2 linked regions of the Canis lupus familiaris genome follow. The protein of the gene in region 1 interacts with the protein of each later gene in a biochemical or structural test. Links are inferred from orthologs where the notes say so. Each region holds a gene or a part of one and is shown on either strand. Other genes may lie near its edges.

Region 1 (4,083 bases):
CAGAGGGATCAGGCTCCTCCTGAGTGCAGACTGTATGTAACGTGTGTCTGGTCCCCACAGCCCCTCAGGGATTCTTTCGCACACACAGCATTTCATAAGTGACCTGCTCACTAGAATGGATGGGCATCTGGGAACCCTGGCCAATGTGAGCACATGGCCAAATGAGGATGGGATGGTCCTGTGTCCCCAGTCTCAGCCCCCAACCCCCGGCCTCTCAGCATTATCACCAGATCAGCCTTCCCTGGCTGGGCTCCGAGCTGTCTCTGGCGCCTGCAAAGCCAGTGCACTGCCCATCAGTTCGGAAGATGAGTCCCTGTGTGGTCCTGGGCCTGGCACAGAAGGCCACCTTCCTCTGTTTTATCTGTTCACCTATGTCTTACTTCTCTTTCCAAGCCCACCTTAAAAATCAGGTAAAATTCTCCTCCATGCTTGTAGCACTTCACCTCTATGTTGCCTCTGAGGGTTCACTGAACCCTTTTATCTTATTTTTTAAAAAAATTTTATTTATTTGAGAGAGAGAGACTGAGTGAGCATGAGCAGGGGGAGGGGCAGAGGGAGAAGCAGACTCCCCACTGAGCAGGGAGCCCAATGCGGGGCTCGATCCCAGGACCTTGGGATCATGACCTGAGCTGATGGCAGATGCTTCACCCACTGAGCCACCCAGGCCCCAACATGGAACCCCTTTAATTATGAATCATCTTCCTGACATTCTGGCTTCACCATAGTTCAGCTCAGCCTAACAGAGGCCCAACACATGCCTGAATGAATATGAATGTTCAAAGTGGATTCTTCAATCTTTTTTTTTAAGTAACCTCTATACCTGATGTGGGGTTTGAACTCACAACCCCAAGATCAGGAGTCACAACTGACTCTCCCAACTGAGCCTCTAGGTTCTTTAATCTTTAATGTCTATTAAGAAAGGGTAGAAATTATTTCAGTGTAAGATGTAACAAGAAGAAATTAAGTGAAGCCAAAGAGGACTGTTTTTTCTCTGGGTAAGATAATCTTTTGAGGAATCAGAATGTATCTGTTTCATTAAAAACGAAGAGGCACCCAGCCCTGCATCCTCCACACTCACTTTGACTACCCCCCACCCCTTGAACTGCTCAGCCACGGATGTCAGCTTTTGTGACTTTCCTGAGTTTGGGATAACTATTATATGAATCCATTCATTCCCTGTGCTCCCTACACACACACACACCACACACACACACACACACACACACACACACACACACACACAGCTACGTTCTAGCTCATAGGCCTCCAGGAAACCCCAGGGGATGAAAGTGAGTCATGGAACCTGTTTTCCTGTGGGGTCATGGTGCGTGGCACGGAGCTGGGGTCGACAGATCCTGTGGTGAAGGAGCAATGCTCCTACTGGCCATGCAGTCAGCAAGTCCCAATGTGCTCGACAAACTACACATGGGTGCTTTGTTTCTAAGAAGAAAATCTAATTTCTTCCTCACAGATATTCACATTTTAGTTTCACGTGAGGAGCTATTCTCAGCCTTACACAAGAATGTCCGTTCAGGTGGAACGAGAATTAATTATGCTCAGGTGTGAGAGGAAGCATGCAGCCTGTACCAGAAGATTCCCCCTTTCGCACGGCACCCGGCACGTGTGGACTGCATTACGCACGTTCTGGGGAGGACGTGCTCCCTTGGATCACAGCCACGGATGCTGCCAAGGAAACCGTGCTCTCAGACTGGAAGCATTTCCACTATTTGTGTAACAGGAGTGGCCAAGCACCTCGAGTACATCTAGCTGACTGTAGGTGACTGTCTGGGTTACTGAGCGGCAGGAAATTTGATTGAGGCAGAGTCTAGGCTTAGGAAGAGTGCTGCGATTGATTAGTGATGCCTACAAAAGGCGCAGTATAGAGAGTGGTGGTATGTGCGCCAAATATACTACTGTCTGTGATCTAGAGATGATATCCGGGAGGAGTCTGTCTTAGTAACTTGGGGGTTCAGAGCCTGAGTGCAAGCCCATGCCTTTTGTATCCATGTCCTCCTCAGCCCGACACCTGGTGCATGTTCCTAATTTGAATGACTGAAAAGCAGTCACGTGTCAGTCACGGATTCATCCATCTAGGTCAACACCATTAGTCACCTTTTCCCACTTTGCAGGTACCTTAATGATGCTCTGGCAGGTGGACAGAGGCAAGCCCACCAGGCTGGTGCCGTTTATGGACATGATCTGGTCCCCGATATTCAGCTTCCCTGATTTCTCAGCAGGGCCCCCATGCATCATGTTGGCTATGATCACGGTTGGCAGGATGGAACCCCAGCCAGACTCCACGATCACCACGCCTAGGATCTCTCCTTTCTGCTTCTCTATAAATACCTGAAAGGAAAAGACAAAGCCAAAAACCCGAATCAGCATCCTCCCAGGGTACATAAATCGAAGCTTTCCCCCACGTCCTGTCCCACCTAAAGAAGAAAGGCATTGCCTTGATGGCTCTGACCCAGACCAGTGCTGTCTTCTCTCGATTCCATGGCATTTGGTAAGAAATGATGTAACAATAGGTTTCTTATAATTCTTGTTTCACATAAGCAGTCATGCCTTGGCTGTATGAACACAAAGGGCGCGGGGTGCCTTTTTGTATAGTCCCCGGGGAGCAGGGAGAGAGGCTGAGTGGGTGGGGACTTCGCGGGTGTGTTAAGGTTTCTGGAAATAGCTTTTGGATTCTATGCACAGGCTGCCCTACTGCACAGCGCTTCACAAATTCTCTCCAACATTTAAGATTCTGGAGTTAAAAATAAACAAATAGATGTTACAGAAACATTTCTTTGCAGGGAGTAAGCTGAAGAAAAATGAAAAAAAAAAAAAAAAAAAGGATGCTAGGGTTAGTGCAACCAAAAAGGTTGGAAGTGCAAGTAGCAAGACCACGTTCTAGATGGGCTTACTTCTGTGTGGCTTCCTCGGCAGGGCAGAGAAGACAGGAGTCAGTTTTGGCTACTGGCAGTGTGGGAAGGTTTGCAGGGACACCACCAAGGGGCAGGACACCTTTTGAAAGCCTCTGACAAAGAGTGTGTATATGTATTTATTTATTCATATTCACCAATACACGTACACTCAAACACACACCGTGGTGGCGGCTGCTGGGGCCTGACACGGCCCCTCACAGGCTGGTGGCCCTTCTCTCACAGCCAGCCACTCCGCGGGGGAGCTGCCCAGTGGGAGACACTCCCATTATGGGTGGTGGAATTATGTTCCCCTTGAAATTCATACGTTGGAGGCCAAACTCCCAGGACCTCAGGATGGGACCTTGTTTGGATACAGAGTCTTTACAGAGGCAGTGAAAGTAAAGTGAGGTCATTATGGTGGGCCACCACTCAGGTGGCGGGTGTCCTCACAGGAAGGGGGGGGGGTTGGCTGCAGACACATGCACAGAGGGAAGCCCATGTGAAGACACAGGGAGAAGGCCGTTCTCTCCCAGCCAGGGTAAGGGCCTGGAATACACCCTTCCCCCCACAGCCCTCCGAAGGAACCGACCCCTCAGTCTGCAGGACTGTGCTAAGGCAGCCCGAGCACACTGCCCCTGCCCCGTGTAGGTGGTGTCCATGACTGCCTGGCATGGGTTCGAAGGCCTACCGACTCCTCTGCCCAACAGAGGACATTCGTGAGCCAAGAGATCACTTTCTCCTAAAGGTCCTTTTGTCTACTGGATAAAACCCAAGCCCCTCGGCTAGACTTCCAAGCCCCTGGTTCTGACCTGAGCCCTGTGTTGGCCTCTCTGCACCCTCTCCCGCATCCCCAGTGCTCCACTGTGCATGGCTCCCCAGACAGTTCCTGAGCTTTCTGACCTTCAACGCTTCTGTTACTTTGGCCCAGCCCTCTCGAATCCTTCCTGCTTTCTGAAGACTACCTGGACCCCCAGACCACCTTAGATGGCTGCGTTCTCCTCCAAAGTTCTGTCTGAAGCCACAGGGCCACCCCAGGAGCAGCGCAGCACCTGTCACCCGAGCCCTGACACCTGCTCCACTCTGTTCTAACAGCTGTCTCTGACTCGTGCTCATGCCTGGCACTGTCACTTAACTTTTCTGTGCCCTTTCCTAGATAGTGGGCTTGGAAAGGGCG
Region 2 (4,845 bases), on another chromosome or scaffold:
CTTGGGTAGTCTTGGGCTGACTCAGTGGAGAACAGATTTGCTCATGGTGAATCAGCTGTAAATAAAGCAAGAAGGTCTTTGTATTCACCTGGGAGACTAACCTTTAATTTTCTTTACTTATATTCAGTTCTCTCTGACTTTAACGTTGGTATTCAAGATTGACTCATGTTTTAATATGAAGACTTGTCCAGAAGAATTATTGGTGCTATTTTAACACTTCAAAAGCGCTTATGCTGAAAAACATTTAAAAATCTAAAAAACTGCTTGTGCTGGTTGATGGTCACTTGCCCACACACTGAATAGCAGCCTAATTGGTAAACACATACACTTGTTCTTTCAAACAAGATGAAACATATAAAGCACCTTCATAGTAAGTAGACCTTGCTTCCTTCCAAAAATTAAAAAAAAAACTAAGTATTAAAGAATAAAACAAAAATTAGGAAATGAATTTTTCTCCTTCTCAAATATATATTATTGCAAATCATACAAGTGATACTAACAAGAAATTATTCAATGCAATTTTAATGATATGAGGGCATTTAATTGCATTTTTGACACTTTAAGAACTGTCAACTCAATATATATGGTAATCAAGATCTCCAACTTTAATATTTAAATAATACCTAATAATTTAAAATTTTATAAGTTCTTTAAGTTTTTCAAATGTTTAGAAGAGCATTTAACTACATCATAAACAAACCAAAGCTGAGAGAATACAGAGCCAGGGTTGAAATTTTAAGTGTTAGTCAGAGACCCAGCCAAAGCTAAGCACCCTTGAATGTTCTGCTCTACTCAGGTCTCTCTGCCCTTCACTAAAAAGATATATAACAACAACAACAACAAAAAAAGCTATTTAATGTCAATCTGCCTTTTATTGGACTTCAAGAAAACATTCAATCAAATACACAGCAATCATATTCATGTATTATTAACCCCAATACAGGCAGTGTCTTAGAAAGACATGACTGTGTCTAGGCCAGACTTAAGCTCTGCTTTTCTGAAGGGAATGATGCTTCAAGTGATGTGCTTTACATTGTAAGAGTGACCTCTAGTGCCTTCCTTTTTTGTTGAACTTCTGTAGTTGGACGATGAATTACTTATACCTTCTCTACAAAACTTTGTGTGCATGGGTGTGTGTGTGTCTGTCTAGTTATTGTCTGTTTGTTGCAACGCTCGTCAAATGCTACTATTACAGCATTCCAAGATTCTGACCAGGTGAAAATATGCAAATATTCTTGTCTCATGGAATTCTTATACAACCAAATTAAAACTGAATCTGAAACACAGTGCAGCATCTGAGGGATGTTCTCTTCTTCCAGTGATAGATACACTCTGCTATTAAATGAGCTGATACTGCATGGGAACCTGAAATCACAGACATGCAGTGTAAATGGACATTTGACTTGTGCCAGAAAGGTTGTTTATCATGTTTTTTCCACATCAGAGTGCTTTAGTGTGCTCAAGGGATGTGCCATAGCAAATGCCTGACTCCTGGCTTATTTGTATCCCCTAAACCTAAACCTGGTTATACAGTAACAACATAAATTCCTGAACAGGCCTCACAGCCCTTTCTGGAAAAGCAAATGAGCTTTTCTTTTTAAATCAGAGAGAGAGAGATAAAGAGTTGAATGTGCAGAGCTTATTTATCACTCATCGGGGAGGGGAAAATTCTCCCATCTGGGGATTTTTAAGCCAAATATAACTTTTTAAACTTTTTCTATCTCTAATGAAAAGTGGATGAAGAGAGTTCTGCCAAATTATTTTGGATGATACTTAAATAAGAAATGAGGTCTTAATAAATCTTCCCTGAATCAATTAACTTAGACTATTCAATCACAAATATATAAAGTTAAAAATAACACTTTTAAGAATTAACACTTTGAAAAAAATCACCTGAATGTTTTCCCTTTAAGCAAAATGGAGGAATCAAGCCCCCTCTTTCAAGAGTACTTAAATCTTTAGAGAGTGAGGGCACGATTCTTAATACTGGGGTTCACCTCCACCAGTTTTGCTCCTGAATTCTGCAGTGCATTTCAGTTATTAGCCCGGCATCATTTTAAAGATGCAGCCAGCTATCAGTCTGCCAGTGCAAACTTCAGAAATCTAAGCTAATGCAGCATAATGTAAAGTCTGCCAGTTGTTTTCCTGTTAGACATAATTCCAATAAAATTCAGTAATCCTTAAAAAGGAAGAAATGAAGACATTCACAGGCTATTCCCTGGTTAAGATGCTAATTTAATGTTTTACTAGAACTTGAGCTTTCTCAATGAATATTCAAAGACGAGAGGATAAGTGTCTGCTCATGGACAAAAAAAGAAATGACACTTTGCATATTTTGACCAGACCAGGAGGAAAGACATGTGTAAAGCCAGTCATATTTGCAAGATTTTTAAGTGAGGCTTCATTTATAGCAATATGCTCTGCAGCAATTCCAGTTGCAAATAATAATCATAAAAACAACAGAATTAAAGTTTTGCAGAGAGGCCCCCCCCACACACACACACACAACCACCACTGCAAGTTTTAAATCATTTGCTGTATACTTACAGGAATTCCCAGCTATGACCCTGTTCCAATTTTGAGTAGATAACAGAAGTAGCAGCTTGAGGACAGCTCCGGTGATAGACCCCATGTTCACATTTATTAGGCTCCCCCAAAAGATGTTGAGTGGCTCTCCAAGCGCTGTCTAGGTCTTCAGCACCTTTGGGTCTCTCAGTAGCTCTCGTCCTTCCCTCCTCTCTCTCTCTGTATCACACGCACACACAGACACACACACACTCCGCACACAGCCCTGACTCCTCAGTGACAAGCACCCAGCATCTTTCCTAACAAGCATCCAGAGCGGCCAGGCCACGCCCACTCCTCTCCGCGGCGGTCCCCGACGGTGGCCGCGGTCCCTCCTCCAAATTCACAGCGGCGCTCAGAGCCCACCGCGCGCCGCGCCGCTGATGGAAGCTGCACCTGCAGGCGCGGCCTGCTGCTCCGGGCCTCCTCGGGGCTCCCTCCCCGCCCCGCTATTCTCCAACAGTCCTTAACCCTTTCTCCCCTCTGGAGATGTGGGTGAGGGAAGCGGGGGAGGCGGTGGAGCCTCCCGATTTTCCGGAGGTCTTGCCTTTAGCAGATCCAGTCAACACACTGAGCTAATTCCTGAATATCCGGGAGGGCATCCAGGTAAAACTGCGTTGTTTCAAAACAAAAGCATAAAAGACAGAAATAACTAAGCAGTATTGGTAAATTGTAGCTGAAAGTGCCCTTAGGGAAAATACTTGCTGTTGTTTTTCTCTGTTTATATAAAACTATCCTTTTCAGCTATGGAGCCAGGATTTTATTATGGAAATTCCTCACAAGGAAACAGACATTCCTGTTTGGCAGATATTTAGAATCATCTGGTAATAGTCTGCAAGAAATTAACATTTCTTATTTTAGTGCATCAGGAGGACAAATCCACAAATTGAACGCTTTAAATGGATTTATTTTGATGAATGCATCGTGCTGTGAATAGGCAGCTGCATTCTACAAATTCTTTAATAACAATTCCCAAAAGGCCTGAAATGAAGAATGATGGGATTCTGAAAAAGGGGACCCCCCCACACACATGCACACACACCCCAAACCTAAACAACATAAAGATGTAATTCAAATGTTCTAAAGGAGAGAGGAATAAAGTTGAGATCAGAACCTCACCGACTACAGAAAAATTACTCTCCTAATGGCTGATGCATGAATACTGCTATTTCTTGAATAGAATATTTAAAAATTTAAATAACAGTTAATATCACATAATAAATGTATCACATGGTATCATTTAAAGAGGATGAATAATTTCTTTAAAATAAGTGTGAAGATACTCAACTGATAATGTGCTAGACTTCATAAGAATAGGAATCCTAGAGTTCTCAAGCATCTCTTGGTGATTACAAATTAGAAGACATAAGCCTGTAGCAACACTATCCTTGCTATGGATTAAATGAAATAAGGAGAAAAAAAGGACAGATGCATCCTCCTGTATAATCATAAGAGTTAAAGAAATATGTTTGGCTTTCACCTACAAACAAAGCAGAACAGATATTTTTTCTTTTCCTACTTTACAGATGAGAAAAACAAGAACAGAGAATTTAAATACTTTGTAGAGGTCATAGAGTTAGTTAAGTATCGATGATTGGACTTTGTTTTTCTGACTCCAATTTTACTGCTCTCACCCTGGGAATTACTGCCCCTCGCATCAGAATCCACCTCCTCTCTGACCTGTCAATGGTGGCTAAAACTTGAGGCCCCGGGGAAAAATCCAGCAGGGGAAAGAAAGGTCACTGTTTGAGTGTGTACTTGTATTCCTAGGCCTACATCCCTGATTTTGTTATTTTCCAAAATAATATATTAAGCAAAAGCAGATACAAACTGAACATTTCTGTTAGGTAATTATTAAAGGGGATTAAATTTATTGAACACATGCTACTCATTTGTTATCTAATTAAATTATTATAGCAATCTTTGAGGGAACTACCATTATGTCTATATAGCAAAGAGACTGAAACTCAGGGAAGTTAAACAGTCTGCCCAGAGTGCCACAGTGAGTAAGACAGAAGGCTGGACTTGACATTCTGGCCTGCAAAGCTCTAAAATCATTACTTTCAATGACTCCACACTGAGGAACAGGCTCTTGGGCTCCCCAGAGGAGAAAAGTTGTCTTCCTATTAAAACTTTATACTTAAAAATAAATAAATAAATAAATAAAAAATAAAAATAAAACTTTATACTTAATTGTTCCCATAAAACAAATTAGAGAATGTATTTTAAAAGGACCAGTACATGTAAGTGAAAAACAACCGAACCTTTCATGCCAATAAT

Evidence for each region. The genes of interacting proteins can lie anywhere in the genome.
Region 2: the proteins of APBA1 (region 1) and CNTNAP4 form a complex in vitro, tested with the Homo sapiens proteins (2 studies listed by BioGRID and IntAct, with this or other methods). The link is inferred for Canis lupus familiaris from reciprocal best matches to the Homo sapiens genes APBA1 and CNTNAP4.

What each region holds. Positions count from the first base shown.
Region 1 is NC_049222.1:88,642,216-88,646,298, reverse strand, and holds part of APBA1 (amyloid-beta A4 precursor protein-binding family A member 1), read right to left. Parts: intron 2,347-4,083; coding exon 2,134-2,346; intron 1-2,133. UniProt on the Homo sapiens protein: Putative function in synaptic vesicle exocytosis by binding to Munc18-1, an essential component of the synaptic vesicle exocytotic machinery. May modulate processing of the amyloid-beta precursor protein (APP) and hence formation of APP-beta.
Region 2 is NC_049226.1:75,320,990-75,325,834, forward strand, and holds the start of CNTNAP4 (contactin-associated protein-like 4), read right to left. Parts: upstream 3,131-4,845; 5' UTR 2,633-3,130; coding exon 2,548-2,632; intron 1-2,547. UniProt on the Homo sapiens protein: Presynaptic protein involved in both dopaminergic synaptic transmission and GABAergic system, thereby participating in the structural maturation of inhibitory interneuron synapses.